Daphnia pulex: one gene and its partners. The protein of the gene in region 2 interacts with the protein of the main gene of each other region in a biochemical or structural test. Links are inferred from orthologs where the notes say so. Each region holds a gene or a part of one and is shown on either strand. Other genes may lie near its edges.

Region 1 (4,393 bases), on a different chromosome or scaffold from region 2:
TTTAGGCTAGATATAAAAATAAAGGATGGATAAATAAGAAAGTTTATGTCGGGAAATATTTTCTCAAATTAAAATCCAAAATCCCCTTATAACTCTGAAGAACAAGGAGATGATTAACGTTATTTCTGACATTAATTAATCAAACAAAGAATACAAAATAAAAACTGCAAGGAAATTTGTCTTTCACGATGACTCGACTGGCAAGTCAGACGAACAGAAATGTGCCTACGTGATATCCAATGTGAGAATCACGCTATTAAAGCACATAGACACTCGCCGAAATGAATGCTAAATCATTCTTCACCTGACGGCCCTCAAAGCGGAAAGCTTGAGGATGTTGTAAAGGTGTTTAAAAATTCGCATCGCGAACGATTCGAACATTATTTCGAAGGTCACCTTCAATGCTTTATTTGCTTTCGATTGCAACTGTGTTTGTGTGAACGCCAAATTAATTTTTCTAAGCCTCGTATTCGCATTTCGCAGTGCTCCGGCTTGCAAAAGATACAAAATGATTAAATATTTAATTTGCGAATGAATCCGGTGAATCAAATCGGTACAATATTTCGATTTTCAAAACGCCACACCTAGTTTTCTCTGCAATGTGTCAAAGGTCCTTTAAAGTCAATGTCAATGAAAAAGCTAATGTAAACTTGTCTGAGACCGGTCGGCTGGAAGATGTTTTTTTTGTTAATAGTTTAAAGCTATATTCAGCAAATGCCACATCGCCTTTTCCGGTTTTCATCGAGTTCTACCTTTTTCTTTGTCATGAGATTTACGTATATGGTGGTTATCGCTGTGTCAAAGTGCCTAACAGAGTCCAAACTCCTTTTTAAGATTTTTGCCCTTGGAGTTTTATTCGCCTTCATTCACTACGACAACATCCCGACACAAAGAACTCGAGGAAGTAGAATCTCCCGAGCCGCATATGTGCTGCAACACGTCGTATTGTTGTAAGATTGATGACCGGTACAATTAAAGCAAAGCAGAAAAATGTGGCGACAAGGAAAAATACAATAAATTAACTGTTTTCGAAAATTCTGAAACCCAAATTCGAAGAAAGTTAGAAGATAAAATCAAAGAAATTGTCGTGAAACCTGCCGAGATGTTTTCCCCATTGTGAACGAATGGTACACCGCCTGGTTGACAATAGGCGGCGGTGCTGGAATGGTAAATTAGGCCAATCATTATAGGTTTAGGCGTTTAGCCAACATTTGCTAAAAGTGTGACTATCCGCTATCTCTATTGTGTGAACAATATATTATAGTATCTTTGCAAATTAGTCGACTTATACTGCCCTATTTCCAAACAACACCTGAAGTTGTTTTACGTGAAAGTGTAAAATGTCGAGTTAGCAAGTCACTTTACCGAGAACAATTTCGTCGAAGAAGAGGAGAAACAATGTGAACAAAAAATTGTCAACTCAAAATAGGACAATAACGCGGGTGTCAACGTGTGAGGTAAATTGACAATAAGCGTGACCGGAAAAACCCGTGGTTGCGAAATGGCGTTGAGAGAACCACCACTTAATTGTTTTTGGCGCGCCCCTCATCGACTCACGCACAAGTGTGACGTCAAACAATGAATGTTGATGACGTCAAGTGAATAAAAAAAAAATTGTGGCTGACGGAGGCAATTTTCCTGAGGCGAACGAAACCGGGGAAAAATAATGACGTCAGCGTTGTGCATCGAATTTCTTTAACCGTCATGCTGGAAGGTTCCTCGAACAGGATTTGTTGGATAAAACTAGCAGGTTTCTCTTGGGAAAAAAAATAAATTCTAGTTGCACTTTGCTGGAAGTGTTTAAAGTTCAAATATTTTTTTATTTGAGGTTTGTGAACCAACAACAGACAAAGTTGTAAGGTACAAAACTGGGTCTGACCTGCAGTCGTTCTGCAACACTAAAATTTAATGAACTCTTACTTACTGAGTAAACAAAAACTTCGCCTAAATGAACCCTTACTGAGTTATAGTGAGTAAACAAAAACCGCAAGAGAACCTACTCCAGTTAACCGCATCTAGCTCAGGAATAATCGTACTCCGTAGGCTACTATGTCACGATTTAACACCAACAAACAGTCAAAAAATAAAGAATAGGAATACATTTTTCCTACCTTCAGGCCTGGGAAATATACGGACAGCGGGACAGGCATCCACAAGTGCTCTCCATCCATCCGCAGAATAATTGAATAGGATATTAAAGGGCGGCCTCGTGAATACACCCACACTCACATGGGCATACACGAGGCCGTTTAAAGAAAAGGGAAGAAGAGACCCGTAACATGGCCAACATCGATAGTTTCTCAATCCAGAATCCAAACGGGATGCTGTTAAACTAATTAAAAAAATAAGAAATGGGTTACGAAAAAATATCTGCAGAAACAACAAGCAAGGAATAGTTTAAAATGAGACAGTGAGTAAAACTTGATTGTTAATAAACAGACGGTTTACATGTAATACACTGCATTTTTGCAAGTCCTGCATTACATTGCACAATTAAAGTATCTAGCAGGTCACACACCACTCGAATAAAAGTAAGGTGTAATGAAAATCATTACCTAAGCGATGATGCTGAGATTGCTGCTGATGACAGGTCTATGGTTACATCATATCTTGTTGATGGCTGTCTCTGGCCTCAAATATGCACTAAGGAAAAGGTTACATAGTGAACAAACAAACTGCCATGCATCGACAGAGGGGCTTAAATGATAAATGCTGGTCAGGACGAACTAACATTTAAAAAAATTTGGAAAAGGTTTAATTCTTCGAAATTCAGTTTCTATAGTCATTCTATAGGTATTCTTAGTTTTATTTACCTGGTAATCAGCCGTGTGTACGAAGTGATTCTGTAAAGAGAGTAGGCCTAAGAGATGTGACCACAGAGTGGACACGACCACGTTTATTTCGAAACTAAACAAAACAAAAGCAGCAGACGACGCTAACTTCCTAATTAGCCATTTATTTCTTAAAATATCGATATAAATTATTTAAAAAATCCACAAATATAAAAAACACCCACTCAAAATACGATAAAAGTGGTTTTCCCACCCGCACTCGACATCCGCTAAAGGGATCGGAATTATTTTAGAATGATCTAATAACCCTACCACAGACAAGAAAAAAATTCAATATTTACACGAAACCCGCAGATAAATGACTGCCAAGAAGGAATAATTTCCTTCTTATCTTACAAACATATACAAACATAATACATACAAATACCAGGATATAATACCACCATGAACTTAAAAGGTTATATCCTTCAACTGTCGTTCGGGAAAATTCCGCTTGTAATAGCATTTCTTGCGTCCGTGTAAAATAATTCTTATCTTTACATACAAATACCAGGATATTATACTACTATCAACGTAAAAGGCTATATCCTTCAAATGTCGTTCGGGAAATAAGCTCAGCTTGTTGTGGCATTTTTTGAGACCGTATAAATTATCGGTCAAAAAAGCCTGAAATTTAAAAATTTGCGATCACGCATGAATTAACCCCAAGCGTTAAAGATATTTCGTCATCCTGTAACATCTTATACCCATCATGGACTTGTGCAAAAAAGCTCCAATAGAACTAGAAATTTGAAAAGGCCCTTCGACATTGAACACGAACTTTCACGCGACTTCATCTGCATACGAGCGCAGCAGCAGCAGTTTCAAGGGCGTGATGAGAAGAATTTCGAAATGTCAGCTGTAACACACGTTTAATGATTTTTCTTCTCAAGAAAACTTTGAGAATCTGGAAGAAAGAAACAAAAAAAGGTGTTTCCAATTTTTCACAACCAGTTCTCGATCTCAAATAAGAGATTTCGTTCGCAATCAACGCATTTTTTACCTCCAGGAAAATCGTTCGGGAACGACGACCAACAAGGAATTTGATGTCGCGATCTGTTGCCAAGGTCGACTCTACTTCACGCTCGAACCATATGTCTGCGTGAACTGCTGCTCTGTTCTTGCGTCCCACCTGCGACCTTGGTATAGGCAAACCAGTTACTGGCGGTTACCGGTATATATTCAAACTTGCTATTGCTTTGAGGATTCGCTCGGTTGAGCAAATATTGAACGCCAACATAGACATCCACACAAACCACAAATACATAGAAGAATAAATTTTCTTTTGGGAGGCGGCGAATTCGAAGTCTGCAGGCCGCAGGCTGTTTTTTCGTGATAGTGCCCATAAACATCAAAGCTTGCGCCTAGAGTTCCAGTCACGGACCGTTTGCTGGAGGGAGGAATTAGTCTAGTTACTATAAAAATTCAGAGTCCCTCTGAGACGGTTTCCTATTTGACAATCGCAGTTGTTAAAGAATTGGGATATATTACTAGCAACGCGAACCACTCAATACTTAACAGACAGACCGGAAACGGTGTGAAAGATACCCATGATAGACTGG
Region 2 (4,534 bases):
CCAACACGCCGACCGGGCGAAACTAACGTCAATAGAGCTTTCTGTAGGACGTGCTGACGATAGACCTGCAATCACACAGACAATGATGATTATAATTTCGACTGATGATAAGGAAAAAAGGAAAAAAAAACTTGTTGACAAAAATGTCGAACCTGCATGGTAAAAGCCAAAGGATCAGACTTGTTGCCCAGAGAGGTGAACAAAGTCGAGGGGAAATCGTCGTACTCCCAATGATGACTGAGGAAGAAACGATAGCCGGCCGGACTGCAGAGCCACTGCAGACGGGGAGGGGCGTTGCCGTTGAGAGCCTGACAGATTTGGCGAGCGCGGGCTAAATAGAAGCGAGCGCACAAGAAACCTCGCCCACTAAACGAGTGTTTCGTTCGTAGCGCCAGATGAATGTAAATATCCGCCTTGGACATGGCACTCAGTGCAGGGCCGGCAGCTTCGCCGAGATTTGTAGCAGACAGGGCTAAAGCCAAGCCACGATAGCGCTCGAACCTTAAAAAAGATTAATAACAAATAAATAACAAATACACACAGGCACGAGTCCGTCCAATCGTTAGTTTTTATCTCTCTGTTATCAATTTAAACTCAAAAATCAAAAGATCGAATTACCAGTAGTGGCTGTTGGGATCAATGACGTCCTGCTGACTAAGATGCAGCTGGTGAAGTTTGTGAAAACAAAGGGCGGCTTCCGCTAGAAACTCACGGGCCACTCGGCGTTCATCGCGATTCAGGAAAAGTTTGCCAACACGGCCGCTGAGAAAGCGGGTAAATCCGAAGCGATGCAACAGCTGACGCCAACAATTCCATCCGACGCTAGCCACAACATCGACTTTAGATACGGGCACTGTCCGACCTAAGGCGCAAAGGGCTTGTCGGTAGTGAGTGGCTGCAGTTACGTAGTTTCCCTGAATTTAACGAGACAATAGTACCAGAGAGGGGAAAGTTTAGTTTGGGAATACCGACCACAAACAACGAGCCTAAATAGCTTTTACATTGTTCATGTCGCAATCAGCTTGTTTCCTCTGTCTCCAGTAGAGCGAAGCCGCTTTGCTCTGGCGTTCAATGTACGGCTCTCCATGAACAAGAGTGCGGAGGAGGACAAAGAGGAAAACCAAAATGTTAATCCCAACAGCGGCAAATGAGAGGAACCATCCAGAATCATCTCCGAGATCGAGGGGATCTGAAACCAAATGAATACATTTTGATTGCATGTCATGATAGCAATTCAAGTAACAAAACGTTTACCAGCTTCCAGGATAACACGACCGGACGGTTTGCTGTAATGGGAGACGGCAGAGTCTGCATGCGACAGGAACTTGCCGAACGGATTAAATGCGAACACGGCCAGCATCATCATGCAAAGGGCAATACGCGAACGATCCAGCATCGATTGAGCAATAACGTTTCCGGGCGATACCATGTTTCCGTCAATGGTAAACTCGTCGTCAGACTGCACGGAAATTGAAGCAATTAAAACCATCAATCAATTTAAAAAATTAAAATCTGTCGCTTACCGAAGCCGCATAAGTTAAAGGAGATCCGCTACCAAAACTGCTGGGTGGCGATTCGGCCGACGTCGAATTTTCCAGCGATCCTGGAGGTGTAATGTCAATTGGAGGACTATCCCTGCATTCGAACGATAAACCTTTAGCTTTTATACCGACAATATAAAACAAGTATATTTACATCGAAGCTGTCAATAAACCATTGACAGTTTGCTTTTGAGATGCCATTTTTAGAGCCATATTTTCCTTGATTAGCTTTTGATTCATTTGCTGGAGGTAGCGCACATATTCCAGAGCTTTCCTAAGGATGGCAGACTTGCTCATCTATGGACAATAAGATAAATTAAATAAAAAAATCTTTCAGTCGAGTTACAACCAGTCACACCTTAGCTTCTTCACCAGCAATTAGGTTTTTTAATTCCAGTATCTTGTCATTGATGCTGTTTCTGTATCTTCTTTCAATGGCATTGTGGGAACTCTTCTTAATGACAGGTGGCCCATGAGTTGGGCTTGGTGGATTAGAATTGCCATTAAACATGTTTGCTGATCCTAAAACAGCAGATTGGTTGACGTTGACGAGACCGCCATTTGGTTGAACAGTGACAACACTATTATAGCCAAAAGTGTTGCCAAGAATCAAGACACCCAGGGAATTTGTATCCACTCGAATAGGAGTGCCAACAGTGCCCTGCGGATTGGTTTTGTTTACCAATACAGTCTGGGCTGGCTGGATGTGTTGGGGGACACTTTTTGTCTGTATCGGAGCTTGTTTCAATACAGGCTGAGGTGATATTGTTGGTACAATTTTTGTCACTGGAACTGTCTGAATCAATCTTTGTTGAATTGGTTTAACTTCGACAACAGAAACTGGAATGATGGGAGGTTGGGTTGCCACAGGAGGAGGATGGAGAACGGCAGGTTTCTGTTGGTGAAAGTTGTGAGCCTTAATGTTCAAAACATCACATTAAAACAAATATGATTAGACAAATTTCAAAACTTTTTAAAAACTTACTGGTGGAGAGACAGGGCCAAAAGATGAAAACAAATCTTCTCCAGCCAAATCGATAAGTTCGGAATCCTCATGAGGAAACAACTCTGTATAGATGGACAAACGTTTTAGTATTTGTTATCAACAGACATCAAAAGATACTTTTTTTATTACCTCCTAAATCAGTAGGAAAGTTCAATTCCAAATCCATATCATCGGCGCGATTTGACGTATCCATGGCAGGAAACAACAATAACAGTCTTCAGTGTGTGGGTAATCACCTACTAAAAAACATGACGTGTATTCGATTGGAAAACCGAGAAGAAGACTGACGATTTTGTATTCTGGAATTTACGAAAACACAAATACTAAAGGTTTTGTAGCGCGTACTATTCGGTCAACGACGTTAACTATTGCAGCATGCAGACAGTAAGAGGTGGAGCTTCAAATCACGCCAGTTCCTGGCCGTCCAATGACAGAAGAAAAACATCGTATGATCGCCCGAGCGACGTTGCCTATGTTTGCTATTATTTTTCGAAATAAAATTTTGCCCGCAGCAGCCAAAGAGGAAAAAGAGAGATCTTAACAATTTTTCACTTGTTTGCCCTCTCGCAATGTGGGCCGAGTTGTTAGCATTTGAATTTTCAAAGAATGTTTTAAAATACTCGCTGACGTAAAAGAAACCGAGGGGGGAAATTGTTGTATTACCTCTCGAGGCAAACGCTTGTCTATTTTCGACCGAATTGAAGGATTCAGATGTTGTTTTTCCAACTGCCGACATAACAAAAAACACACACATTGTGTTCGGGACGTATTTGGGAATCGGAAGAGCCTTGGTCGGTTGCAACGTACGGTGATCTATTTCGGGCCGACTGCGACCGACGATGCGAGCTGGGCGCATCATTTCGCATTCCCAGTGCATACAAAAGAACATTTACTCACAATACACAAATAAAATAATAAACAGGAAATCACAGATCTAAACTGTGTTAACGCAAAACTCGTTTGTCGAGCGAAATTCGTCGACTCGCGTGAAGGAAGACGCCAGACGAAGAGTCGTCCCACCAAATGTCACGAGAAGAAAACTAATTCGATCCGTTGAACCGGAGAACTGTACTCGTCGCCCGATTGACGTTCATTCGTTGAACCGGTCCCGACTCTTGTCCCGACTGCTATCCAATTACCAAACTCGAGCGAAGAAAACAACAGGAAAAAAGAGACGTCGTTTTCTTCTTCTTCCTTCTCTCCCGTTTCCGTCGACGGGTTGCAGCAACAGCCAGAGTTTCATAGAGACAAAAACTTTCCATGTGCACCCACACTTTCGCGTGTGTGTGTGTATACAAGTACAGAATTACGGTGTATACACTACGGGGGGTAGTAGTAGCAGTAGCAGTAAGCGAACTTGACGGGGGAGGAATCAGTCGTGCGCACCTTTCAAATATCAACGGGATATGAGGAGGAGGAGGATATCCACAGCAAGTTTGACGACGGTAATTAAGAAATGAGACTTTTTGTGTTGCGCAGGAAACACGGTGGCGTGCTAAAGATTTCCATTTCGCTTCGTTTCCTTCATTTAATAATCTCATTCTCAAACTTTAACGTTTAAAACGAAAAAAGGCGCTTGAACGGGAAAAGCGCATTTCGGACTATCTAGTCGGATTTTTGTAACCAACATTCCATCGGGATTTTCGACAGTCCGGAGAAAAAAAGTGCAAAGGCCAAGTCACATCTTCTGATGGATCGCATCATCAGGGGATAATAATGCCGCGCGGAATGGCAATTGTTTTGATGGATGCCGGAATGTGCGGTGGCCGAGGGCCAAGTCGATTGTTCGTTCGACGACGATTCAAATTATTGGCGAGAGGAACATCTAGTAAAGCGAGTCGACAAATGTCTTGATCATGACGACGCCGGGCTATATTTAGGTTATTAATCATCCAACGGGAAAATGGGGCGACGGTCCGTGAGTCGTGACGGACGACAGACTCCATTTGTTTTTTTGTTTCCTTCCCACCTACGTACTTCTGCGGTG
Region 3 (4,284 bases), on a different chromosome or scaffold from region 2:
CACATCGTACGGCAGCGACGTGACCAACAAGAACATGTAAACATTCGCCCGTCTCAACATCCCATACACGTAACGTTGCATCCCGTGACCCGCTCACCACCCTACATTCATTTTTGATCAAGGAAAACAGTTGAATTAGTAAGAGTGCTTGCTACAAATATCTGATAAAAAGACTGACTTATTTCCGTGTAAATGCATGCAACGGACAGTGGAGGTGTGGCCGTATAATGTGTGCAAACACTGTCCAGACTCAGCGTTCCAGACTTTTAAGGTTCTGTCTGTACTCCCGCTGACTATAATATTTCCCTGCATTTGAGAGGACCAAACGCCTCCCGTATGTCCCTGCAGAGTCCTCATGCACTGTTGAGTGAAATGACAATTAAATGGTTGTCTGTTCTTAAGACATTTCGCGTTTTTAAAGTCTTTGTCCTGTCTAGGCAGAAAGCCCAATGAATTACCTTTCCCGTAGTAGCCGACCAGACTTTGAGCGTGTTGTCATCCGATCCCGAAACGATGCGGTTTCCGCAAAACTGTAAGCAGGTGATGACGTGATCGTCATGACCTTTCAATACCCTTGGCTGTGGGATCGGCCTCACTCGCCAATTCAACTCAATATTTCGGTGACGCATATAAGTCGCCTGAAAATGCAACGAATCAATATTATCTTGCAACCTATTAACGTTTAAGCCAGATTGATCTATTCACCTTCCAGGGTGACGGAGTAATAATTGGTGCATTGTTTTGGCTAGATCCGGTGGGGGAAGAAAGACCACAACTGAGAGATGAGTGGTGGGAAGATCCGCGAAGACGTCGCTTATTTAGAGTATCACGAACGTCATCGATACCCGCTTCACGACATTTTTCTCGCCAGAGGAGATTATCTTCAGCCAAGACTCTCCAACAACGGCAGGTTTGTGCGGCGCGAGTCAAGTCGCGAGGCGTGAGGAAACTGAGAACATACAGAGCCAGTTCTTTGGGCAGCAGCGATATGAAATCGCGTTGGAACTGTGGTTCAATAACAGCCATCATGTGACGGACCTGAGTGGGTTCACACAGCTCTATCAGTTGGTCAATGGCACATAAACGCTCAGCGTTCGACCAGTACTGCAATGATAACAAATGGTTTTTCTTAGCAATGAGTTAGTGGTTGAGAGAATGACGAAAAATACTTGGAACGTGTGAAGCCACTGGCAAAATCCTGGCGGAGGATTGTCTTTCGAGGGAATCGGATTACGGTGAACATGGCAGTAGATTGACGAGGAAGATGAATCAACACCTTCACCCCTTCGACATGTTTTTTTCTCCGTGGCTACTTCAGCTGCCATCTCAGCTGTCGACTCCGACTTGCGCTTGGTCTACAACACACCACCTTAATTAAATTCATGTTCTTAATAACAAATAAGTGTTGGATAAACTTACAGCTCCTGGTCTGGCGACGTCATCATTCTCCGAGGTGGGTGATTCCTCTTTAACGGATACATTGCTGGCGTCGTTGGCAGGAGCAGTAGGTGTCGATGATGTAGGTGTTGTGGGGAGAGGAGGAGGCGATTGAATGATGCTATCGTTGCTCCGAGTCTGTCGAAGCGAAGGCGATTTGCCAACGGGCAGTGGATTTATTCTGCTTGTTGACCGGCGCTGCCTCAAACGGCAAGCACCCCATTCGTTGCTGCTGCTACTTCCACTGTCGTTTTGCTGGTCTTCTGTCGCGTTATCACTTGAACTAGATATCACTGGTGTGGTGCTCGGAGTCGGTTGAGCGCTTGTATTATCACTGCTTCTAGGGCAACAACAAAACATGTTTAGAATCAAATGACGCATTTTTGCCTAATCCAAAGAACAAAGGCTTAGATAAGAGTAACAATAAAGAAATATACCTACACTAATAGCAAAACCATGAGAAGGGGGTATAAATTTAGTATTGTATAACACTATTTACCTGCTCCGAGTGTTGGCTTTTCTTGCATTCACCTGAGACGACTGAGCTGGTACTGATATTGTTAGTATCTGACGATTGGCTTCAATCAAATTTGTCCCCACACCTGGAGCCAGACTTAGATCTTCGATGGATGTAAATCCTCCAAGGGACTACAAAGGAAAAACACATGTCAAAACCATATAAAACACACTGGTGTTGGGTTAATCCTAAACTTACATTTCTGGTTTCCACAATGGCTTCAGCTCTGCTGCGTCCAACTCCAACCAAGGTGGAAAGCTCTTCAACAGTAGCCACATTGATGTCTACCAGGTTTCTCTGAGCTAGACTTTCATTAGCAGTGTCGCCCATGCCCCTCCCACTACTCCGTCCTCTGGACGCTGGCATAAATTATTTCTGCTGGGTTTCTGACTGCTACGTAAGCTAGAGATTGAGAAGCTGAGCTATTACTAGGAAACCAAAACACAGCTGCCTAGACAACAACTCATATCCTCAATTAAACACTAGTCATCTCATCTGCCAAGAAAGAAGATTCAATGTTGTTAATAAAGGTTTCTTTTTATAACAATAATGAAACAAAGCAAGAATGATTCACACTTACCGTCGATAAAAATCCAGTGAAAAGTGCAGCGAAAATTATAATGGCGTTACGAGTCAAAAAGTGCAATCAAAATAAAAGTAGAATCTTTTTAATGATATGGGCGAGGGCTTGATAGTGTGTAGTGTTTTGGGAACAAGGGCAGACCTTTAAAATGCGATTTTGAAAATATTCCGCAAGCACGGGTGGGCAAAAACAACTTAATCAAATAAAGGATTTAAAATAGAAAAAATCTAGCACTAAAATGATTCGGGCATTTCGATTTCACAAAGAGCGTAAATATAGAAAAAAATTTGTACACGAGGATCAGCATCAAAGAGAATTTTGTTTCACACGAATGGTGAAGCCGAGACAGACAACGATATATGCTGGACTAAAAAGCGTTGCCAAATTGCTTGTTAACATTTCCCAGTTGCTGGACGCGCCCTGTGGTCGTCATCACATGCGCTTTTTTCTTTATTTCGCTTAGAATCTCGTAGCAAAACCCACTTGACACGTTTACAGTGTTACTATCGAATTTATAGTGGTAATTATTATCCTTTTTTAAACAACAAAGCTAGGCGGTTTTTTAAAGGCCAATACGTGGGCCTACCTCATTTCATCTTTCCCGCCTTTCTTTGTACATACATCCCCCACCCTTAATAATATTTTTGTATTGCATTACTATCAAAGAGTATTATATCATATTTTTTTTTAAGTTTCTAACTGTTCAGTTCTTGAAACTTCAACGGATCATCATCGCTATTCATCGTTCCCCCTCCTGAAATGTCCCCCTTGAATCTCTTCATACCATCAGCCCTTTACAGATCCAACTGAATTAAAGCCACAATTTCAATAACAATGGAAGTTTTGGTGCAAATTGTTTCTCAAGCATTTCAACTCTGTTGAAAACGTTACTGCGTAATGTTGAGTTCTAGTTCTCTCATACGGTTGGACGAAAGTTGAACCCGATTCAACCAATAGCCAGTTAAGTATTCATCCAACTAAATTGTGTATCTATATTTTTGTACACATTATAGCAGCTACGCAGTGTTAAAGGGCGCCCGAATCTTGCTTTTTCTAGCTATCGCTAGATGACTCGCGATGAATTATAAACGTTCGATATAAGAAATTCAAACTGCTACTTACGCGATATCTCGCAGGTTTTTTAAAAGTTGAAGGTTCGTCCTCATTAATAATATAATTGTAACAAATTTTCGTTTTTCTCTGATTGTTACAATATTCAATTCCGTTTATTGCCCCATGACATTCAAAATTTCTCGGATTCGGAGTGATAGCTGCTACCGTATTAGCATTAACTTTTCAAAAAGATCATTAGTAAGCGCAGCACAAAACATTCGGTGATCTTGTGTTGAATGTTGAATTCGCTCTTTCATCGGGCATTATCGTCGCTTCCCCAGTCATGAAAATAGGTCGCTCATTGAATTGCCAAGAAACTTTGATGCACATTTTGTGTGGGCATTGAGAAATCTATATATTTTTTAATAAACCAGCAATTGGTCTTTGACCGGTTCATTTAAGTGCAGAAGCACCGGATTGAAGAGGTGTGAGGTTAGGCGCGCCTATTTAAACAATGGAGTCGTCGTTGCAGCTAACGAACATACGTTGCGTCATTTGATAGTGTTCGATTGTGAATGACGAACGAGACCAACATGCGCTACGGTTTACTGGGTCTGTTTTATGTTGAAACTATTTTATATTGAAAATGTTATTTGAAATGTTAAACAGGCACATGGACTCAACACGTGAACGA
Region 4 (4,512 bases), on a different chromosome or scaffold from region 2:
GAAAATTCCACTTCCCCTTATCCATAATACAGGAAAAAAAAGAAATACTAAATACCATCGAGAGATTTCGTCTATATACACACGCTTGAAGCTTTTAAATAGAATCCATATTGTTAACATAACAATGGTAAAAACAGAAGCTTTGTCGTTGCTTCGGAATACGTCGTCAATCCATCGCTTTCCTTTTTACTCCATGCTCCGGGAAAGGTTGAGTTGAATCTCCTCCATCAATTCCAGACGAATCGCTGGAATCAGAGGATGAGTCAGAATCGGACTCTACCTCTTCGTCTGGGTCATAGAAGAGTTCAGCACCAGGAAACAGGTATCGACCAGGTTGGACGGTGAGATAAGTGTTTTCTGAATTTTATGCAAGGAAATGCATATAGATGACATAGACAACAACCGAACAAAAATAAATTACCTGGGAGTTGATCGGCAAGATTCACTTTGATTCGCGGCTCCCACCATCCGGTCATGTCATGAGTAACTGGTTCAACATCACCAGACTCGGCTGATTCCATTTCTAAGCTTCCTGTAGACATCCCACTGTCCCGGCGTAAAGGATCGTCTTGATCTCTTTTGGGGAAAATGGGTGCAGGTACGGCGACAGAAGGAGTGGGGCGTGGTGGTAGGCGACTGATCTCTGTTAGAGGTTCGCGGTAACAAATGTCATCTTTCCATTGTGTACCCAGTCTGATTGTTACAAGAAGATTGATGAGACAACAAATTTGGCTGATGAAAATTACTGTATACTAACAAATGACACAGTTGGTTGACGATAATATCGCAGTCCCCAAGCAGTTCAACATCAAAGACCATGTGGCGGAGAGGTTCGCGATTGATAAGAATTTGCGGAACATGATTCGGTAGGGCGCCTATTTGAATCAAGAGAAACTTATTGCATATGAACTTTAAGGTTACAAGATGACATTTAAAATAACTTACATGGGATGAGTGCGACAGGGCGGACTTTGAGCGATGACCCAATCACGATTATCAGGTCACATTCTTCTTTATCGAGTACCATAGCGCGGTGAAATTCGTCTGGCATTCCTTCTCCAAAGAAAACAATGTCAGGCTTCATGATCGGCTGGGCCGATAATGCCACCGACGACGATGTACTGGCCTCGTCTTCATTTTTCGACACATCCGAGCATTTCGGACAAAGTGGAATGCGTTGTTCCATTATGTCTTTTTCTATCTCGTTCGAGGGGACGCGATGTTGGCAGCGCAGGCAAGTGGCAGTAGCAAACGAGCCATGACATTGGATAACCCTTTCGATATCTGCTTGTTGTTCTAGTGTATCTATGTTTTGCGTGTAGTTGCGCAAAAGCTTGTTTTGTTTCTCTAGCAAACGAATGAACCTAAACAAAATATCGTTTCATTAGCGAAATTTCAAAATTGTCAAGAGAATTTGTTTACTTGTGGCATTTAGAAGGTGTAAACTGTCCTGGCCAAAGGTCTCGGGCGAATTTAAAGAACGGTCGGGGATCTTTTCGGAAGTAATGGATATCAAACATAGCTTGAGGATCGGGCAAGTCAGGGAAGTCGACGGCTAAGCGAGCGTAAATTCCATCACGGCTACGAAAGTCGGGAATACCACAGGAAACAGAAACCTAAACAAAATTTGTTCAAATATAATGAGGTAAATTATTTTATAAAAAAAAAAAAAAAAATTACCCCTGCTCCTGTAAGAACTAGAATCTTTTTACAGCTACGGAGTAATCTGACGGCATCGGATATTGCATTTATGTGGCGTAAACGTTCCCGCCTTGGAGGTTCACTGACAATATTCACGATTATCTGTTTTATTCAATAATTATGATTAGTTGCCTTGACAATGCTACAAATTTATAATTTTACCTTCCAAAGGGTGACATCGTCAAGATGGGTGGGGATTTGAGCATCATTTGGTACCAACTCATTCAGGATGGTTCGAGGATTGGTACCAAGAAGCATCTGTTGTTGCACCCAAGACATCGTCCCTGATGATGGCTCCCAGTCATGATTGCTCAAGTCACTCAACCCACTTATGTCTGAAACATCACTATCTGAGGAGGTATCATCATCTTTCTCCAAATTGCCCATTGAATCATCAGCATCTTGAATGGCTGGCAAAGCATAGCTACAAATAAATAAATAATAAAGTTAGACCATATGTTTGTACACAATAAAAAGAAGACATTAGTCCACATTACCTGGTAGATGGTAAATCATTAGTGAGATTTTCATCCTCGCTGCTGGCTAAAGACGTTAACTCGCTGAAGCCTGAATCCCCAGCGTTGAACATTTCACAGCTTCCTAGTTGTCCTGCATCATTTGCTGAAATTTAAAAAAAAAAAAAAAATATTTCAAGTAAGCTCACAATGGATCAACTCTACAGCCATCAAGAAATTTCAACTCAAGAAACCAAAACAGTATTTGACAAGTGTCATCACACTGTTATGACATTCAAACATGCCGCCCCAAAATTTTGGCAACGCAGCAATCGACCAAAAAGAAGGGCGTCTCCCCTCCCCCCCCCCCATCCGCCAATGGCCGCACTAACGAAGCAAAAGGCCATTTACCTCAAAACCGAATGCAATCTTTTGCTAACAATTTTGATTAGGTTCACAAGTACATTAAATGAATGAAATCGATCAAACGGGTACTTACAAAGCTGTTGGCCCTCAATAAAGGACTGTGAGATGTCAATCGGCAGCAAAGTTCTGCTTCGTTTTACGGGACTGTGAAAGTTCTCGCCTTGTTCGTCGGCCATTGCTTCGTCTTCCGTCGATCGTGGGGTAGAGGGCGCTTCTTCTTCTTCACAAATTTCGGGCCGCCAGGTGGCAGGTCAGCGTTGCCAGTATGAATCGAATTCGTCCCGAAACCGGAAGAAAATATGCGCAAGGACATGTATACATGAAATAGGAAGGGAATTAATTCAAGGCCTTTCCTTGTCGAGCTTTTATATCAACCTTAGTCCACTTTCCGCACGTTGCGGTTCAGATAAGGCATTGTGATTTTCGCATAAGGAGGAAAGCTGCTGATTATAATTTTTTTTTTAATAGGAGGTTTATCAGAAATGCAGTATCACCAAATTAAACTGAGAAAAAAATTAGTTCAAGATGTACTAAACATCACGAATGAGGTTACGCGATATCGGGAAAATAATTCACGTATGGCATTTGTACTAGAGAAGCGACCCCGAGGTTTGACTGACTTATAATATTCGTGGACCATAAAACCAAATCGCATAGGGGTGAGCCGGCCCGCGGTGCGTTATACCCCCAAAAGTTGTAAAACATGGTCTAGCGATTTGACGAACTTAATTAAATCTGATAGGCATAGCACACGGGGCCGCCCGATATGGCCGCTCTTGTTTGAAAGCGTGCGTCACAACAATTGCGCTGAGTGTGTGTGAGGATTATTAGTGCTGCGGGATCCGGTAAGTACTTGACTCCAGTCGAGAACGATCAGGCTTGATAAACAACAGCAGAGCTCAGTTGCTGGATTTACCTTCCGACAAGCAAGGAATTACTACTTTTTTCAATGTAAGTGAATTCATTGTTTTCCCACACGTAATAACCGAACTCAAGTCGTTCGTGCGAATTTCAGACTTTCACAGGAATGGATTTTTCAAACGTCAACTTCCCATTTCCTTTGTGGATTGTCCGTCCCACCTGGGAGTGCGCCTTGAAAATCGGATTCTTCGTTCCTGTCATTATCATCAGTCTGCTTGGAAACGGTTTGGTGGTTTACCTCATGGCCACCAATCGATTTTTGCGCACTTCCATCAACATCTTCATTTGGAATTTGGCCATCGCCGATCTTTTAACTATCCTACTCATCCCGTGGATAATTTTAATCATCGATCTCTACCAGATGTTCATTCTCGGAGAGGTTTCAAAACCAGTCAGTTTTATTATCAAATAATTATAATTTCCATTACATTTTTGGGAAGGTTATTTGTCGAACCGAGGGATTTTTAAGAGGTAATTCAAAGCTTCATTTTAAAAAAAAAACTGGCAAGTAATTCATATATTTCAAATCAAAAGTGATGCTGATGTTGGTGGACGTCTTCAGCTTGCTGGCCGTAAGCTTTGATCGTTTCTTTGCCATCGCATTTCCATTCCGCCCGCGGATGGGCCAATCGGCAGCCTACATTATTTGCGGAGTCATCTGGATCCTTTCAGCGGCCATCGCCTCTCCACTCATCGCAGCCCGCGTCTATAAAGTACGACCAAGAAGCATTTTAAATTGATCAGAATTATTTAGGGTGTTATATCATCTGCCGCCGCCAATTTGACTCAACACACAGGAACGACAATGGAAGGATATATTGGAGTCCTGGTGCATCGACAACACTTCCTTCTCTTTCGTGTACTACATCTCCCTCGACGCTATTCTCGTCTGGTTTCCCCTCATCGTCATGACTGTTCTATTCATTTTCATCTTCATTATTGTATGTAATCAGCTTCTTTTACATCCTCTTGATTGGTTAAAACGGCAGCAGGTTTCAAATACGTTTAC

What was found.
Region 1: the proteins of sterol regulatory element-binding protein 1-like (region 2) and mediator of RNA polymerase II transcription subunit 23-like form a complex in vitro, tested with the Homo sapiens proteins (2 studies listed by BioGRID). The link is inferred for Daphnia pulex from reciprocal best matches to the Homo sapiens genes SREBF1 and MED23.
Region 3: the proteins of sterol regulatory element-binding protein 1-like (region 2) and F-box/WD repeat-containing protein 7-like form a complex in vitro, tested with the Homo sapiens proteins (3 studies listed by BioGRID, with this or other methods). The link is inferred for Daphnia pulex from reciprocal best matches to the Homo sapiens genes SREBF1 and FBXW7.
Region 4: of the proteins of sterol regulatory element-binding protein 1-like (region 2) and NAD-dependent protein deacetylase sirtuin-1-like, one has a biochemical effect on the other in vitro, tested with the Homo sapiens proteins (2 studies listed by BioGRID, with this or other methods). The link is inferred for Daphnia pulex from reciprocal best matches to the Homo sapiens genes SREBF1 and SIRT1.

What each region holds. Positions count from the first base shown.
Region 1 is NC_060019.1:10,887,713-10,892,105, forward strand, and holds the start of mediator of RNA polymerase II transcription subunit 23-like, read right to left. Parts: upstream 2,911-4,393; 5' UTR 2,814-2,910; intron 2,644-2,813; 5' UTR 2,556-2,643; intron 2,333-2,555; 5' UTR 2,112-2,332; intron 1-2,111. UniProt on the Homo sapiens protein: Required for transcriptional activation subsequent to the assembly of the pre-initiation complex. Component of the Mediator complex, a coactivator involved in the regulated transcription of nearly all RNA polymerase II-dependent genes.
Region 2 is NC_060018.1:511,890-516,423, reverse strand, and holds the start of sterol regulatory element-binding protein 1-like, read right to left. Parts: upstream 3,018-4,534; 5' UTR 2,893-3,017; exon of another isoform or gene 2,787-2,892; 5' UTR 2,741-2,786; coding exon 2,677-2,740; intron 2,610-2,676; coding exon 2,527-2,609; intron 2,458-2,526; coding exon 1,900-2,457; intron 1,839-1,899; coding exon 1,696-1,838; intron 1,636-1,695; coding exon 1,524-1,635; intron 1,460-1,523; coding exon 1,255-1,459; intron 1,190-1,254; coding exon 1,002-1,189; intron 915-1,001; coding exon 619-914; intron 502-618; coding exon 153-501; intron 66-152; coding exon 1-65.
Region 3 is NC_060019.1:12,535,924-12,540,207, reverse strand, and holds the start of F-box/WD repeat-containing protein 7-like, read right to left. Parts: upstream 2,913-4,284; 5' UTR 2,535-2,912; intron 2,450-2,534; 5' UTR 2,321-2,449; coding exon 2,153-2,320; intron 2,086-2,152; coding exon 1,937-2,085; intron 1,778-1,936; coding exon 1,420-1,777; intron 1,356-1,419; coding exon 1,170-1,355; intron 1,105-1,169; coding exon 706-1,104; intron 639-705; coding exon 459-638; intron 361-458; coding exon 179-360; intron 102-178; coding exon 1-101. UniProt on the Homo sapiens protein: Substrate recognition component of a SCF (SKP1-CUL1-F-box protein) E3 ubiquitin-protein ligase complex which mediates the ubiquitination and subsequent proteasomal degradation of target proteins.
Region 4 is NC_060021.1:10,714,595-10,719,106, forward strand, and holds the start of NAD-dependent protein deacetylase sirtuin-1-like, read right to left. Parts: upstream 2,845-4,512; 5' UTR 2,759-2,844; coding exon 2,656-2,758; intron 2,323-2,655; coding exon 2,199-2,322; intron 2,126-2,198; coding exon 1,864-2,125; intron 1,804-1,863; coding exon 1,681-1,803; intron 1,617-1,680; coding exon 1,423-1,616; intron 1,365-1,422; coding exon 946-1,364; intron 876-945; coding exon 758-875; intron 694-757; coding exon 422-693; intron 358-421; coding exon 167-357; 3' UTR 1-166. Other genes in the region: neuropeptide FF receptor 2-like, read left to right, coding at 3,610-3,882, 3,944-3,974, 4,038-4,216, 4,301-4,444. UniProt on the Homo sapiens protein: NAD-dependent protein deacetylase that links transcriptional regulation directly to intracellular energetics and participates in the coordination of several separated cellular functions such as cell cycle, response to DNA damage, metabolism, apoptosis and autophagy.